Linked DNA regions of Lytechinus pictus. The protein of the gene in region 1 interacts with the protein of each later gene in a biochemical or structural test. Links are inferred from orthologs where the notes say so. Each region holds a gene or a part of one and is shown in the gene's direction. Other genes may lie near its edges. The genes, in order: adenine DNA glycosylase-like and exodeoxyribonuclease-like.

Evidence for each region.
Region 2: the proteins of adenine DNA glycosylase-like (region 1) and exodeoxyribonuclease-like form a complex in vitro, tested with the Homo sapiens proteins (3 studies listed by BioGRID and IntAct, with this or other methods). The link is inferred for Lytechinus pictus from reciprocal best matches to the Homo sapiens genes MUTYH and APEX1.

What each region holds. Positions count from the first base shown.
Region 1 is NC_087255.1:22,397,346-22,406,467, reverse strand, and holds the start of adenine DNA glycosylase-like, read left to right. Parts: upstream 1-5,264; 5' UTR 5,265-5,323; coding exon 5,324-5,453; intron 5,454-5,945; coding exon 5,946-6,058; intron 6,059-6,643; coding exon 6,644-6,754; intron 6,755-7,171; coding exon 7,172-7,213; intron 7,214-7,762; coding exon 7,763-7,948; intron 7,949-8,572; coding exon 8,573-8,670; intron 8,671-9,122. Other genes in the region: target of EGR1 protein 1-like, read right to left, coding at 1-471, 893-1,076, 1,835-2,094, 3,265-3,562, 4,734-4,882. UniProt on the Homo sapiens protein: Involved in oxidative DNA damage repair. Initiates repair of A*oxoG to C*G by removing the inappropriately paired adenine base from the DNA backbone. Possesses both adenine and 2-OH-A DNA glycosylase activities.
Region 2 is NC_087248.1:18,625,943-18,634,932, forward strand, and holds the start of exodeoxyribonuclease-like, read left to right. Parts: upstream 1-5,517; coding exon 5,518-5,544; intron 5,545-7,044; coding exon 7,045-7,101; intron 7,102-8,990.

The sequences.
Region 1 (9,122 bases):
AGCCGCAGTAGCAAAGCCAGTCATGAAGGCGTCAAAGCCAGCACGGTGGCTTCCTGATTTCTTTGGTGCTAGAGATGTTGGTTTGGTCTGATTCGATCTACTGACACCATCTGTTAGAGGGTTCAACTCAGTTGGAGCATCGGAGCCATTTTCCTTGCCAAGATCAGGGTTATCACCATTCACCACTGGGACAGTTTCCTCACCAACTCCTGTACTTGCTTCAGGCGCAGTACTACCTACATCCAGGCTTTCATCTTTCCGCTCCTCCTCTCCCTCACCATCTCCATCTTTCATCCTTTTCTCATCAGTCTCTCCATCCTGGACGTCCATTTCCTGGTTACGATTCTTGCGATTTCTCCTTCTCCTCTTGCGCTTACGCTTTTCTTCGATGATGATCTCTTCGGAATCTAAGATTGCATTAGGATCATGAGACTTTGGACAGTGGATCCCCTTGGCGCAACATCCATGGGCCTAATTAATAAATAAATAAAAACATTATCACATTGGTGAGTGCAACAATGAATAGGAAGGAGAGAAATCAAGCTTTTATAAACACGAAAAATAAAGTTTATAGTTAACTATAAACCATTAAAAGGAGAATAAAGTATATACATCCTGTTATTGTTTCGATGAACAGAAAAAATGAAAATATTTCAAAAAAAGAACAGTTTGATCATATCAAACTAGGGTATAGTCTCAAAGGACACCAAATGGAAAATTCCTTAAATGTTGTACACTCTTTTATCCTACCACATTATTTAATTCGGCCCTCATATTTGGTTGGTAATGTATTTTGTTTTCTCAATCTTGATTCTTTTTCATTGTTGCTGTTTGCTGTAAGGCATAAAAATTTCCTGGAAACAAATACAATTATGATATATTAACCACATACCGCATAGATTTCGCAAACATCAGTAGTCTTGTTTCCAGAATTTCCTTTGTTTTGCCTCTCTTCGAAGTCTGCAGGTAGTAGGTAACTCTGGTATTCCACAGCATTCATATCGGAAGAGTATTGGCAGAAGACTACAGAGGCATGGGAGAGTCCCTTCAGCTTTCTTATGGCATTGTCTCTTTGGCTAAAACGAAGCAAAATAAAGCAATTTAAATGTAGCAACTCCTCACAGGTAAACAAAACATGGTGCCTATAACCACGCCATGAGGATGACAAGTGTTTTTCATGAAATCACATCTTAAAACCTGTCCTACTTTTCTTGTCTCAAGGATAAAGAGAATCACTGGTCACACAAAATGATGGGCCGAATACACAAAAGGTAACAATTACTTTCTGAATGTTTTCAAGCTCTTCGATTGAATCATTACACATAAGAATTAGCAAGTTTGTTGGAAAAATCTTCGTTAGACAAAATAGAGAGCACATATTCCTTTGTGTTCGCACTGCATCAATGTGAATGCTATCGTTGAAACAGCAATCAAATGACAGCTCATGTGCACAAAATGTAAAAGTTAAATTCAAGAAAATTTTCATAAGCATAATAAACATTTGCTTGAGCTCAATCTTTTTGCTTGCTTTAAGGCCAAGGAATGCTCAAGTCCGAGGCCTTGAAAAAATAGGTCTCACGGAAAAGGTTGAACATCAAAGCACTACAACAATCACTGGGGAATGATAATCATGATGGCAAAGATTAACAATCTATTTTTGTCTGGATAAAATCTGTCTAGATACTATTAATAAGATTCAAGATTCAAAATAATTTAATTGTCATAATTTTAAAAAAATGCATAAAATCATCCTCTGTAATGTCATGGTCTGAAATTTCAAGATAGTTTTATCACTTTTATGAAATCAAAGACTAATATGAAAAGCAGTTAATACCTCTTCCTGAAGACGTATTCCAAGTACGATGCAGGCATCCGGGCTTCGTACTCTGCCACATATTTGGTGTCTATGATTCCGCCAGAGTACATCTCGTAAAGATCTGCAACAAACTGGGCACTTGAGGCTGGAAGATCAGTGTAGAGGTTCTGATAGAGAAACACTAGGTCTACTAGACCATTGTGAAGGGTCAGGGGCTTCCTGGAAGCCAAGATGTGGTTGAAAAGAAGCCGGAGAGAAGGCCACGATTTATCCTCCTTCTAGTATTGATATGAAACAGAATAACAAAAAATACAACTTTATAAAATGAAACATAAAAAAACAACCAACTGATAATAATATGAGGCGTCAATTATCTAGTTGCTTATTCAATGGCGGACTATATGTTACCCCGGCTTTAGGTCCAGCTGCTAAAGGTGCTTGGTACATTCAATTAATTAAATTAATCCTACCAGGATTCATCTCATCTCACCTGGTTTGAGTGCAGCACAACATGGCTTAATTTCTTGCTGAAGGAAAACACACCATGGCTAGGATTCAAACCCACGACCCTCTGAATGGCGAGTGCCAGAATCACTAAACCACAACATCTCTACAAAATAATAAGATACCGGTACACAAAACAACCCCCCCCCAAAAAAAAAAAAAATTAGAATATGATACACTGATAACTGATTGAAATTACTCTCCAGGTAAAATCACTCCAACCAATCAAATTCTGAACTATTATATTACTGTAAGAACTAAATTTTGTGGATAACAATTTATTTATCATCTTGGTCATGTTCCATGATCTTCTGCAACAAGTGTCCGCCAATCAAATTGAATGATTTTAGTAGCTTGAAATTGCTATTCCAAATTTATTGTTTTAACAAATTATGTTATATTACTTACATCCGCCACTGTGTTACTATGGTAAAAACAGACTGTCACATATAGCATCCAACAAATCCTATCATGAAACTATACTAATTTTGAAGAAGGTTCAATGAAAAGATCAGCTTGATGAGGAAAGGGCTAATTCTTCACTGCCCCCCTGCCTCCATATGCCTCCACCTCCTCCATCTGGAGGAGCGTTGTGGCCCATTGGATTATTCTCTGGACTAGCTTTGAAACAGAGGGTCGTGGGTTCGATTCCCAGCCATGGCGTAATTTCCTTCGGCAAAATTTATCCACATTGGGCTGCACTTGACCCAGGTGAAGTGAATGGGTACCCGGTAGGATTTATTCCTTGAACGCTTTAGCGCCTATTAATATGGCGGCTTAGTTACAGCCGGGGTAATAATATGATACCAAGTATCAAAGCGCAGTTGAGTATAAGCACATAGTAACTGAGCTATATAAATGGACATATAATATTATCATTATCTCTTATGGAAAAGAATATATATTCAACTTTCTAAAATACTTTTAAAATGTTGATGGCTTACCTTATCAGGTCCCCTGCAGTACGGTACACCACAGGAATACTGCTTATTGAAATCAAATCCATGTCCCACCAAGAACTGCAGAGCCCCTGGCTCTACCATGTAATCCTCATTACACAATGTCAGGATGTTGAAGGTCTGGGCCAGGAATTTCGGACCCGGTCCTGGTCCCGCTGCTGTCTGGTCAGCTGGACCATTTTGGTCCTCCTCATCTTGGATCTTGAAGCAGGATAGCCCTAACGAAAGGATAGACCTGGTCTTGGCAACCTCGGCAATAGACTTGTATCTATCCTCAATGGATCTACAAAAGAAATGAACAAAACCAGACAATGAATTTACAGCAACAGTAGAAGCAAAAACTTGGTATATGCCAATGACTGTATTCAAAGTGATTTAAAATAATATGGGTACTGGGGTCCATTGCAAAAAAAGGCAGGTTAACATTATACTAACTTTGCCATCTAATGGTAACTACCATGGTAGCAATGATTAAAAGCCAATCAGAATCAAGAATTTCATGTAAGTTACCATTGGATGGCAAAGTTACTAAGTTATGTGCAAGAGAGCACAGATATTAAAAAAAAAAGTGAATCCAATTAAAATCTTTTAACAAAAGGGGAATAAAATATAAAAAGCTGAAAGGGAAAAATTCTATAGGGCATGACCACTTGCAGTCTACAACCACCTAGTCTGTTGAGTTTAGCTTAGGTAACAGTATGAAAAATTATATTGTAAAAAAATATATATTAGTCACATTGATCATCTTTCTATCATTAGAACTAGGTTTTTCTTTCTTTCACAAGAGAGCTAAAAAAAGGCCTCAATTTTCAGGATATTCTTATCTCTTCTCTTGTAGACAGATGTGGGAACATATCAGAGGTGAAACCAACAAACCTTTTGTTTTTTAATTAAAATGTAATTCATACAAATTAACTTACTTTTGAGGCAAGGACAACAGGATATATCTGATCAAAATTCATCCAAGGCAATACATCAACAGAAAATAAGCACACACAAAGAAATATCCAAACATCAAACATATTGTCAACTTAATTTCATTCACATGGATTTAATATACTAGGCAAGGTTATGTCACAACCGTGTTTGGATTGAATGAACAGGCCCAATGTTGTGAATAACTTAATTTTTCTTTCACTTCAGGCAAAACTTTTTGTTTTAAGGAATTCAAATCTATAGATTTATTTTGGTTTAATGGTTAAAAAAAACTTGATACCAGCACAAAATTATACTTTTAAAATTGTACATTCCCATTCCATCACAATCTTATTCTTAGATTTATAACAAATGTTAAAACATGAACTCATGAGCACTCCAGGTGATGAGCAAATATCATAAAATAAATTTTATCATTGTTCATTTTTTTCTCGAACCATTTTAGAAAAATGAAGAGGTCGAAATCACATCACAAAACTCAATGCATGGGATCATGCAAAATAATCAAGGATTCATACTTTGCCATTAGATTTCTCCTGCATCCTAGACCACTGAGCTCTGCATCAATAGCAATAAATGAAGCTGTCTGGATCGCTAAATTTATGGCAGGCCAGAAATCTGAAAAATTATCACGATGAACATCGATGATTGGTACATTTAACGACATTTTGTTCCTGGAAGCTGGCCTCAGATAAAGTGAAATCCTCGTCAACGTAACGTTTCTTAACGTTTAACCGATTTGTGACTTTTCTATATGGTCAACGTTAATCGGGTGCAGGGATAGGGTAGACCGTATTCATGCTGAAAAGATGTATCGAGACTACGCAAAAAAAGAAAAGGAAATTCAAATCAATTTAGTCATGATAGATCATAAATTAGATTGATTCATGCATTAATAATACTCTAATTGAATAAAAGAAGGGTCATAATTGTTTAAAAATCTGATATATTATCAATACTTTTAACGCTAAGCCCCTCTAATTGATTGAGTGGAATCATCCGGGATTTTCCCTTTCAACAAGGCGCGCGCCGAATCGAAATGCATTTCATAACAAACTCGTGGGCGAGTCGAGTGTCAAGCTTTGAAAGCTGTGTGCAGTGAGTACGTATGCATGGAATCAGACTTGGGATAAGTATCAGCTCCAGATTTGAAGATCTGAAGAAGCATCAAATATCAGTGATAATTGCCCGATTTATGTCCATGATGAAGAAGGCATCGAAAATCAACAGTATTTCCGGTAGGTAGAAGAGTTAGTCCTAATGTACTTACGTTTACCAAGTTGTGCTGCAAAAGTGCAAGTGCAAAAAAGGCTACATCATCGATGACATCAATCATGATGCTAACTGATACTCATGTAGTGAAGGTAACTAATAGGCTTATCAGTTTTGGACGCTGGACTATCTGATGATCTGTTATATCTCTGTTGGTGTTGACTTGTCTGGGGGAGCTGCTCCCTAAATGTTTTTGACTTCAGCCTGAGTATGCCAGATCTAGCTTGTATTTATTGGGAGAGCGAATTAAAAACAATGATGAGAGAAAGAGGGAGAATGCAGTCTATGTTATTTCCTTTCCAATTCATAAAGTGGAAAAATAACAACAATCGATCAGAGTTATAAATTCAGTTACTAAATTGCTATTCTATCTGTATGAACATGAGTAACTGTAATTAAGGATATTTCATGTATATTGTATTACTTTCTAATGGTAATATCATTCAAATTCTCATCAGATTCACAGGTACGAGGTCCTATTCACAGATTTTCGGAGACTGAAATCGAGTCTTTGCGTAAGAAATTACTGAAGTGGTATGATGCAAACAAGAGGGATTTGCCATGGAGAAACGTAAGTAGGCTTAGATTTGTGTTGGAGACTAGAACAGTAGGAAGACTTCCGTTATGCTATTTTGTTATTGATTTTCACTAATAATAGATGGAAGCTACTAATCATTTCATCGAATCTGCTTTGAGGTAATTTGTGAAAATCGATGACAAGATTAATTTTTCATGAAATGCTTTCCAATATAATCCTCATTAAAAATTAAAGTATATATGGTATTGATAAAAGTGATCTATAAACATATTTTTCAAATATGAATGAATGAATGAAAACTGTCCACATTAGTTATTGATTACCTATGCTGTTATTAGGAGAAAAATATGATTAAAACAATTTTGAGATATGATTAGGACATTTGCTTGGTAAAGTGAAATATCTCAAAACCTTATTTTGCCTTTGGCTGTATAGGTAAATTGAATTTATTGTTGTGAAGCATATATGAGCATCTTATTGTTATTTGAAATTATTTTTACTTGCAAGTATCTATTTTTTTTCAATATTCTCCTTTTTGCCATTAGTCCCATTTTAGTGATATGACTTGTCATATAAATTTGTTATTTTCCTTCATAAATTCCTTTTTATTGTTTGCAGATAAAAGGAGAAGACACTAATCATAACGCATATGCCATCTGGGTTTCTGAGATAATGTGTCAACAGACACAGGTTGCCACGGTGATTGATTATTACAACAAATGGATGAAAGTAAGTACATATAGCAAAATTGTTTAACCCCTTTTGAATATAAACAAATTGTGAAAGACATTGACTTATTGAGTTCTGAACAAGTTGGATTTTTTTTTTAAATTAAATTTTATTGGTCAATTGAATTACATGGAGCTTATTATTTTTCTTGATGATATTAACATTGTGAAAATCAGAGAATAAAATCTAAATAATCACAGTATGAAAACTATCACTAAATATTGGTTTCAAACACATTTTGAATTGATATAGACATTCTTTTAATGTGTTACAACTTTTTCTTTAAACAAGGTTTTTTTTTAAAGATTTTGTTTATCACAAACCTGACATTGCTCCATCGAATGATATAACGATTATGTAAATTAATTTCATTCGATATGATTACAATTTCTGAAATGTCTGTCGCTATCTTTCCAGAAATGGCCAACTCTTGAATCACTGTCAAAGGCATCTATAGAGGTGAGAATTATATTACAAACAGATAAGAAGAATTTGAGTCTAGTTTCATTTCACACATATATGGTGTAGATATTTATGATACATGTATTTGTACTTACTACTATTGATTACAATTATGATTATTTTTGATAAAAATCTTTATGATATGTAGAATAATGGCAAAATTGTCTGTTTCTTGTTCTACTGAATTTGAGCTTTGTTAGGAGCCACTCCAGCAATTTCATTCAAAACTTTTGAATTACTGACAATAATAAGTGACAATCTTATTAAGGGGCTGGAAAGCTGTGTGGAAGCTGATTATATCACTGAAACTGAGTCATGTACTAGGCTCAGATTACATTAAGTAGCATTTTCAAGTTAATGACATTGACTTTTGGAGTCTTAAGAGGCTTTAATGCTATTTTTGTTTTGCTTTGTTTAAAACAATTTTTTTGTCAGTCTTATGTGATACCCCAATCATTTGAAAGGTGATTTGCATTTACAATTTCTTTTTCAAGATACCTTTGGTAATGTCGTCCTTGTTAGATTAATTATAATATCTATTTATAGGAAGTGCGAGAAGTCTGGGCAGGTCTTGGCTATTACTCTAGAGGGCAGCGTCTTTTAGAGGGTGCTCTCAAGGTTAAGAATGAGCTCGATGGTCAGATTCCAGGAACCGCTGAACAACTTCAGAAGAAGCTGCCTGGTGTTGGCCGCTATACAGCAGGAGCAATAGCCTCAATATCCTTCAACGAGGTACTGTTTTTCAGCATCTGCGCATCATCAAATAATTTTTGTAATTTGTTGTAAGGCAATAATCTGTGTCGTTTTTAATCTTGAAAGATTTTGTATTATTATGTCTATTACATTTTGTTCCCAAGTAATACGTTATTAACAGGAAAAGCACATTTTGAAATGCCCATGTTACCCCCTGACATGTAGAATGTTTTTTATTATTTTTATTATTATATTGCCCCCACAAAATCAATCAATATTTACATTATAAAGGTTTCATATTTTCAGCATATAATGATGATGATGATTTCTGATTGCTAAGAAAGCATGAATGCTTGTAAGCAAGCAACCAGAGGACTGATGGCTGAAGGTCCTCTGTGAGGGACCTGGTGATGAGGATAAATAACTGAGGGCACTAGCACACCATGTGGGAATCAAACCTGGGTCACTGGATTGCAATTTCCGTTACTGTACCGACTGAGCTATCATGCTTCCTATCTGCATTATTTTGATGCACTGGGAGGGGATGGGATAGGGTCTACAATGTTATGACCTTCCCCTTCCTCAGTCACATTATCACAGATTTTCTTCACTTATTGCAATGTGAGATATGCTCATATTTTCTTTTATTGTTTTTTTATCAAGGCTACCGGTGTTGTGGATGGCAATGTGATCAGAGTTCTTGCCCGGTTGAGGTTGATAGGTGCCGATTTTACCAGTAAGAATGTCATGGCAGCAATGTGGTAAAGAAACTCTCTATTATATCCCTCCAATGAATATTCATGAATTTTCATTGATTTGTCAGTTTGTTCTCACATGGTACAGGTAGAAGATAATTTGTCAATTTATTGTCCAGGGTAGTACTGCAAATGCATAATGAAATAATGAACATTCTCAGTTCTGCCCCAGAATAAAAAATATTGAAAACTATTCGAATATCTCACCAAGTCTCAGGCACACAGATCAAGGGATTGTCTCTAGTTGGCATCATTCACGATATAGCAGCGCAGACACTGGTCTGCAAGAATTTGAGAATGAGTGATATATGGAAAAGCAAATATCTATCCTTTTTATTTTTATTTAAATAGTTAAAATGCAATACTTTAAATAGAACTATAACATGGAAGAAGAAGCTTATGGATAAAAAACAATCTCCATAGAAAAAAGTGTTTCATTTCAAAGTCATAACGAACAG
Region 2 (8,990 bases), on another chromosome or scaffold:
TGCAGCATTAATGAATCCTCATTTGTTTTGGGGGTGTTTTTTTTTTCAGACTAAACAGTAACCATAGTAACAAGCATCAACTTAGCTCCCTGTGGCAAGAGCACGCATTCATCATTGGACGCCTTCTCAATATACGTGCAGAATTAAGCATAATTGAGGATGAAATATGCATTTTAAACATAGTTTGAAACCAGAGAACTAAAGCCACCATTGTGAATCTGGGGCATAGGGTGCTTACCAAGGAATTGGTGTTGAAGATCGCCCAGAGAAGAATGAACTTTTATGAAAATTATGTATTCCTTTGTATATTTCTCCTATTGTCCTGTATTATAAAAACAAAATATATATAATCTCACAGAGCTGCCAAGTAGTACGATTTTTCCGTATTTAGTACGTATTTGCAACCAAAATACGGCAGTACGTTTTTTGAATTTTTTTTTTTTTACAAAATCGAAATTTATTGAGAAAAATCATCTCTATATGTCTCTATTTCATCAAACTTACACAAATATGCTTATTAGATCAATGTAATTTCAGGTAACTTGTTTTTTTTTTCAATCATTTTGTAAAAACCAGGGTGAGATATACACAAGTTTCAATGTTTTTTTTTTTTCATCTGCAAGAGCAGTGCACATTTTAGCCTGCATGCAGCTTGAGCGCCGTGATGGGCGAGTGCGCCAAACATTTTACTATGAAATACACTTTTTTGGGGGAAAAATACAAAATATTTATCTCACACGGTAAAAATACTGATTTTTTTGTCAAAATACTGATTTTGGGGGATAAGAATACTGAAAATGCAAAATACAACTTGGCAGCTCTGAATTCTCATCATCCTTGCCTGACAAAACCAGCAGCAAGCATGGATATGTTTTGACTAGTCTTCAATCAATGGTTGGGCATTAATGTGGTGAGCCTGAAAGTGAGACATTTATTTATACAGGACTGGCATTTCCAGTGATTTTCTCAGAGTTTGATGTTTGCAGATCAATCTACTCCACATGAAGGCTCAAGACCGATTGATTTTTACCAGAGGATACTTAGAACAGGGCTCCACACTAACCCTTTTTTTCCTACAGATCCAACCTGTTCATGTCGGACCAGTAGATGGCAAACTTTTTACTGGTCCGAACCTAAAATTTACTGGTCCCTCAAAGTAAAGAAAAATATAAAAAGAGGCTTGAGTTTATTTTGCTGACTTTAATTGCTTTTATTCCCCCCCCACAACATAATTCATGAGAGCCATTTCTCAATTTTGGAGGGCCATTGTTGAAGATGCCAGAGCCTTTTTATAATTTACAAAAGAGGAGAAAATATCATTTGTATCAGTTTGATACATATTTTACTGGTCATGTCGGAGCTAGTAAATCTGGCTATTTCTGAAAAACAAGTGGCCCGACAGCAATTTTTACTGGTCTGGGACCGTCGGACCGGTGCCAGTGTCGCGCGCTGCTTAGAAAGTGGAATGCAGAGGGTTGACCTCCTTTCATCATCCTTCCCCCATCCCCAATGTACTTCTGTCCCACCCCGCCCCTTTCACCTACATTCAATATAATGTTCCCTTCCTTCTCACTTCCATTCCCTTTATACACTCATAGCCCCACCTGTGTGTACGTCTGTTATAATGAAATTATGGTATAACGATTTATTACATGTTTGCGAAAATGTAAAATGGCAAAATGTATTTACAGCCTTACACAAGAAATCTTTTGATATGAAGTATGAAAATTTCAATAATCATTTGACCTGCTAAGTGGCACCGACGTGCTTTATCCTGCTGAATGCTATATAAATACAAAACATAAATATCTATAAGAAGTATACCATCGGCCAATAAAATCAAATGATTTCAGTAGCTTGAAACTATTAGTGAAAGTTTGTTACTATAACAAGTTTTGTGAAACAGACCCTTGTTGTATCTTACCGAGATGGTAAAACTTTTCTTTAGGAAAGGTGGGCCAAGTTGCAGAAAGAGTTTAAATTAATACATTTACCAAGAATTAAAACAACTTGATTTCCAGCCTATGAGAAGTGTACATTTTGGACTCTCACTTCATTTTACCAAGTTCTGTTTTAAACGCAATTCTATCAGCGATGGGCACCACTTATGGTTATTGCCTCCATTCGAATTTTTTTTTTTTTTTTTTTAAAAGAAAAAAAAAATTAATTGACCTGGGCCCCATTGCATGAAATATTTTAGTAAGGTATTTCTGTGATATGCATTGAAATTATCATGACATTATGTTTATTTAACCAATTAGAATATTAAATTGATTATGCAGTATTTACCATTGTGTGGCAAAGTTGCCATTCGATGCTAATAAGGGTTCAGGTTGAATTTGACGGAATTCTTGCCAAAATATTGGCACCATTTATAGCCAGCATTAAAAGTTTGCATAGTGAGAACGACAAAAAAAAATGGTACGCAGTTGCGTGCGTGAGTTATCTGTATGAAAATGAAAGAGCTAATGAGACACTGTCAAGCACTCTATTTATTTTCAATTTTGTATAGTTGATGATATTGTGATTTAGTCGCAATAAATGACATAAATTGTAATTTTAAATATTCGAGAAGATATTGTTTTTCATCATTGCAAGCAAAATAAGATAATAAATATTGCAATGTTGGGAAACAATATCAACTCAATTAAATAATTTTTATTTTCCACCTTCGATTTGTAATATTTACAATAATGGTACAGTAAACACATAAGAATATAATCACATATATCCGTGTACAATTGAAAATATCAAAGTTTGCAATAAAAACACTGGTTCGATTTTTCTTTTGTTGATCAAATCAATTGTTTGATCAGATGGACTTGGCCTTTGAATGGAAGATGTGCAGCAGGTACTGATCTTACTGTTGAAAGTGATGACTTTTCTCTATGTCGGACTATCCATTTAACATCCCATCGCGAACCTGCCGAGTAGTACGGATTTTCCGTGGTTAGTACTGAAAAATGAGAAGAATACTGAAGGTTTCATGCAAAATACTGATTTCTAAAGTTTCAGTTTTACGTGTTGTCCTATGGTATTTCTTTGAAAATACATGTACTGATTTCTCACCAAAATAAGAATTTTCATCTTTAAAATACTGAAATGTTCTTGTTTAGGTTGGCAGCTCTGCTATTAGAGTGACATTTGGTTAGAGTTCAGCACATGAAAACATAAAACAGGGCTTGTACTCGAACACATTTCATAAGATGTACCATTATGTACATAGCAGTAATTAAATTTTGTCAAATACTTTAGTGCTACTTGAAGGGGCGTTGATCTTGTACATAAAACGATATACTTTGTATATTAAATAAAATGTTTTTTATTGAAACAATACAATTTGAAATGTCCATCTGTTTCTGTATTTCATGAAGCTGAAAATGATGTATGAAATGAGATACTACTTCCCATTGCACCAACATGTACAAACACAATATTGTAAAGTTTAAAGTTTGATATATATATGGAAGTCATAATTGGTATAAAGTGGTCATAACTTTTTCCAAGTGGTATTTGATTTATTTTGCTGAGGCATACAGATAATTTGTTTCAGAGGGAGGGTGCCATTTAATAGTCCTTCATACCCAGTTTTAAAGGGGTACTCCAGGCTATTAAAAATAATATGATTTGAACGGTTCCATGACACTTGCTCCGGCGACAATTGCTCCGCTCTAAATTCCACACTCTAAACGAATTACCAACTTCGACCCTGGGTCTAACACTACCCTGCCCTAAACCTAGTAACCCTAAAGTTAACATAAAACCCTATTGCAACCCTAACCCTATATCTTAGACAAAAATTATGCCCCGAGCAATTGTCGCAGGAGCAAATGTCCTGTCACCATTTGAACAGTTGAAGTAGAAGAAGACAAAGCATTGAAATGTCATCAAAGTCGGACAAGGAATAACAAAGTCATGACAAAGTTTTTGCATTATTTATTATACATGTATGCACATTGAATATGCAATACATGTAAGTACATAAAACTGATGTCAATATCCCCACTTATTCTTGTACTTTATTGTATGAAATTATATATTTTCAAACTTTGTCCACCAAAAATTTTAAAAAGCGGATTGACATCTTATTCAATATGTAAGATAATTATTGCTGCAACTTCTTTTGTTATAACTAAGGTAGATATTTCATACACAGATGTAGGAAATATGGAATAATTAGGATTTTAAGTAATAACATAAGAAAAAGGCAAGTGGGGACATGACATCAGCCCACCTAATGAATATTCATGAAGGCATGCATTTAATTGTTTTCACAAAATATTGGCAACATTTTATTTTTCTTCAAATTTTGATGAAATTTTCAGCATTCTGCTCGGTGAATTCTACTCAATTCAAATAAGTATTTTCAGCCTGAAGTACCCCCATTAAGTGGGTTTATGTTACAAGAGTCCACTACTGAGAATGATATGGATTAGAAGCCTGGCCAATGTTCCGTAACACAATAGCGATTGATCGTACGCTTGATTTTGATGATAGATTATACATTGTGGTATTCTTTTCTCTTTTATGATGATTGACAGGCCACAGGTAGGGGTAGTTGAGGACTTGATTTGACTCCTGTTTCATATTTGCATTAAGGGTCAATTTGACAGAAAATAAAGGAACTTGCTTAAAGTTGTGATATATTTTGTGACAATAAGAGAGAATACATGTACATGAGTGGATACTTATTCAGATCAAGAATGTCCATATTTTGTAGCAACTTGTAGGTTATACTCCAAACGTTGCGCCATTTAGGGGACCTTCTGGCACACAAAACCCCAGAGTTTTGAGAAATGTTAAATGCAAGAAAGCAACCCAGCTCGAGTGGCACGTCCCTATAACCACCCCTCACCCTGGTTATTTGTGAATTGTTTGTAAATAGTGATTTAAACTGATATCAAGTATTCTATGAAGAGTGTGAAAATGATGAACAAAAGGTGGTTTAGACCTGAAAAGATACTTGAGAGGATTTTACATCCTGTTCTTTATCAGGGAATAATTTTGCTTTACAAATTTGAATAGAATTTTTGGTCATAAGAGAAAAGCTCTAAACTAGTAATGTCCAGACCAATGTAAACATACATGTATGCTATACAAAAGAAGCATAGCAGTCTTTCAAAAATGTGGAGCAAATTGCGATGCGATACCAGGAAAATTATTCCCTGTCTATGTTGGGGTGAATAGAAAAGTTTTCTCAAAAGGTGTTGGGACTAAGATGATCTTTAAAGGTTTTCATGGTGGAGAGAATAATGGAAGTTCTTTTGAGGTAAACACCATGCATGTAGTTCTGAAAAAGACTGTTTGTTTATCTCTCTTGGTTGTTTGATAGCTCTTTAAAGAATTGTTATCGTTTCGACCAGCGTGTTCTGGTCGTCATCAGGAATGATGATCCATTTGAATACATGAGTATATGCAGGTTGGTAATGAAGATGGTAATTATAAGGTCGAACCGGGGGGGGGGGGGGGGGCACTCAAATTATTTTTTGATGGGAGTGTGCCTCACAAAACTCTTAAATGGCGTCTAAGGAACTGACTAAAAGGGTAAAGTAAAAGGTCTTGGGAACTAAATATATACCGCCTGGTGTGAAAAACAGGGTCTATGGAACGGGATCACGGCACTGTAGGTACATTGCACCATAGCACTGCAAGCGCTAGCCATGCATGGAGCGGCTAGTAGTTATGTAGAGAGTTGCGAAACCGTACTTGCATCTCTTGCACGCGGTGCTCACTCTTGACAATTTTGGCAGGGCTGGGGAACTGAGATGTCTCGTAACGAGGATCTTGCGAGTGGGGCTGGGCGGCTTCTGAATTGAATCCGGTAATTTCCTTCTTTTTTTTGAGTTTTTTTTTTTAATAGAAGCCCCCATTCTATAAAACATATGATGCACAGCTTATTATCGTGGGTCAGTGGAACTGTGTGCACGCGGTAACTTTGGCATTATGGTCTAAACCCACTCGGATGCGCCTCATGGGTTAAACCATGCCAAAGTTACCTTGTGCACACAGTTCCTACTGACCCACTCTAATCTGTGCATCATTTGTATACTATAAGATATTGGTTCAATCACAGAGAGGCTATAGCCCCTCGCTTCAATTGGTTTCAGAATCCAAAGTCACAAAAGGGCAAAAGAAAGACTGATTTGTGACTTTGGATTCTGAAACCAATTGATGTGAGAGGCTATAGCCTCTCTGTGATTGAAACAATCTCTTAAAGGAGAATGAAACTCTTGGAGCAAGTTAGCTTTTGTGAAAGCAGAAAAATCAAAGAATAAGATCAACAAAAGTTTGAGTAAAATAGGACTAGCAATAGAAGAGTTATGAGCATTTGAATGTCGAGATCACTAATGCTATGGAGATCCTCCCATTGGCAATGCGACCAAGATCTATGATGTCACAGATGAACAACTCTCCCCTTTTGGACACTGAAAATATACCCCAAAACCTCTCTTTTTGCTCATTCTAATCATATGACAAACGATTAATCAATGATATAATGTTGTGAAACCTCTGTACTTGTCCTCTCATAAAGAGAACACCTCACCTTGTGATAGACTATAAAAGTGAGAATATAAGTGAAATAAGTACTAAAGTAATGAGGGAGTTGTACGTGTGTGACATCACAGATCTTGGTCGCATTGCCAATGGGGGGATCTACATGGCATTAGTGATCTCGAAATTCAAATGCTCATAACTTTCTTATTATTCATTCAATCTTCCTCAAACTTTCAACAATATGTTTCTTTGATTTTTCTCTTTGATATGGATTCAGCTGGTTTCAAGGGTTTCATTCTCCTTTAATAATTGACATATGTGCTTATTAAAGCCAGTCTGTGTAAAAATATTGTTCATTTTGACTGAGTAGAATTTGTGCAGTGCCTTTGTACAGTTTTATCAGTTTCTTTTGTAACCCAGTTTATTTTTATCATTTTTAACCTATATATATATCTTTTATTCTATTTTTGTCACATTTACCAAAGCATGATTCCTGCTTTGAGGGATATGACATGCAATGCAATAACAAATTATTATTTTCTTTTTCAGCAAGAATCAAAAGCAAGCAATGACAAAGATGTCGATCAGAAGAAAACCAAAGTAGAGGTATTGTAATTACTTGCTTTTCATTTCATTTTGTGAGAGAAATTTTGATTTTCAAGTGAGAAGCAAAAGAATGTTATCATTCATTGCTTGAACATACAAGAAAAGACATTTGTGCAACATTTTTTGTTTGATAAAATTTGCTCATTTTTGGGCACACTTTTCTAGAAAAGTTGTCTGAAAAAAAAGCCTGCAAATGAGAGGGTAGGAGGAAGCAACATGGTTTTGTACACTTTTTCTTCTGTCATTATTTTTTCAATTTCATACTTTTTCATACTTTTGTTTCTCCAATGGGGGTGGGGCCTGGCCCCTCGACACTGCACACACACAGTGAGCCACTGCAGTTTTTTCGCCCTTTTTTAGCCGTTTTGTGTGTTATAACCTATGGGAAATTCAAAGTTGCAGTTTTTTCGCCGTTTTGAAAACGGCTAGAAAAGGGCGATGAAAGGGAGAATTTTTGGAGAAAAAACGGCTACATTAGGTTTCCTACGTAAACATTGAATTATTATGAAGTGCCATCATTGTCCAATATAAGCGGAGCTATTTATTTCCCCATGAAAACGGCGAGAAAACGGCGAAGGATCCTGTTAGAGGAGTGAAGATACTGAAAGAAAACGGCTAATAAACGGAGAGAAAAGGGCAAGAAAACGGAGACAAAAGGGCGAATGGGTAGTAAGGCGTGCATTGCATAAAACGGAGATAAAAGGGCGAGAAAACGGAGACAAAAGGGCGAATGGGTAGTAAGGCGTGCAGTGCATAAAATGGAGAGAAAAGGGCGAATAAAACAGAAAGGGCGGATGGGTAGTAAGAGGGGAGAGCATGAAACGGAGAAAAAAAGGGTTAGAAAAAAAAGAAAAGGGCAAATGGGTAGTACGACGTGCATTGCATAAAATGGCTAAAAAATTGTGAAAATGTGTGATATGCATTCCATAAAATGGGAAAAAGCGACTATAGAAAGCGTAGAATATATATTTTCAACATTTCTATAAACTTAAGACTTTCTTAAGAACTCCTTTTGGAAATAAGCTCTCGTTTTCATGGGGAATATTTAGTAATAATTCTCATTTCATACAGATAAAAATATTGTTATTTTACCCGGGGTAGCCATTTCAGCTCTTATGAACGTTACTATACTCCCATCGGGCCCTGCGCATAACATACCTGCTTTCTGTGGGGGGGGGGGGGGTTACGCCTTCTTTCATAAATCTAATTTACATATTGTATAGGCCTACATTCATTGTTTTATTTCAATATTTTTTTATATTTCATGTGAAATTTGATAAAATGTCAATCAGAAGAAAATAAAATTTAATTGAATTCGATTGAAACTTCATTGAATACTTTATTCTTTACTCTTATTTTCCCTTCTTCATGGGCGGGAACCCGAGGGGGACGCGTCCCTCACTTTTTGGAAAGGGGGGCATAATATAAAATCCCTGTCTACTATTTGTGGTCTTTTGTGGTAACAAGCCCAAGAAGATAAAGAAAATAATACAGTACAGTATCAGTATATATTGCATACATTTAGCACTTTGCAACATCTTTCCAAAAGAAAAAGATGATGGAAAAAAATCATATTTATGAAGTATCTATTTTCTAAAAATAACAAAATATGGTAAAAATTAGTTAATTATAGATTTTTGTTAATATACCAAACACATGTTTGGTATACGAACCACAAGTGAAAATCATGTCACATGCGAAGAGGGGCGCAATCGGAATCTGATAAGTTTTTTTTTTAGATATAGGCCGATTGATTTCAGCCATTTTTAGATCTTCATATTTTGTAGGTATTTATGATTACTTTATGGTGGAAGTTTGATGAATTTTAAGAAAAGGTTTGATATGATTGAAAAAAAATGAAGATTGTTCGGAATTATACAGTGTATATC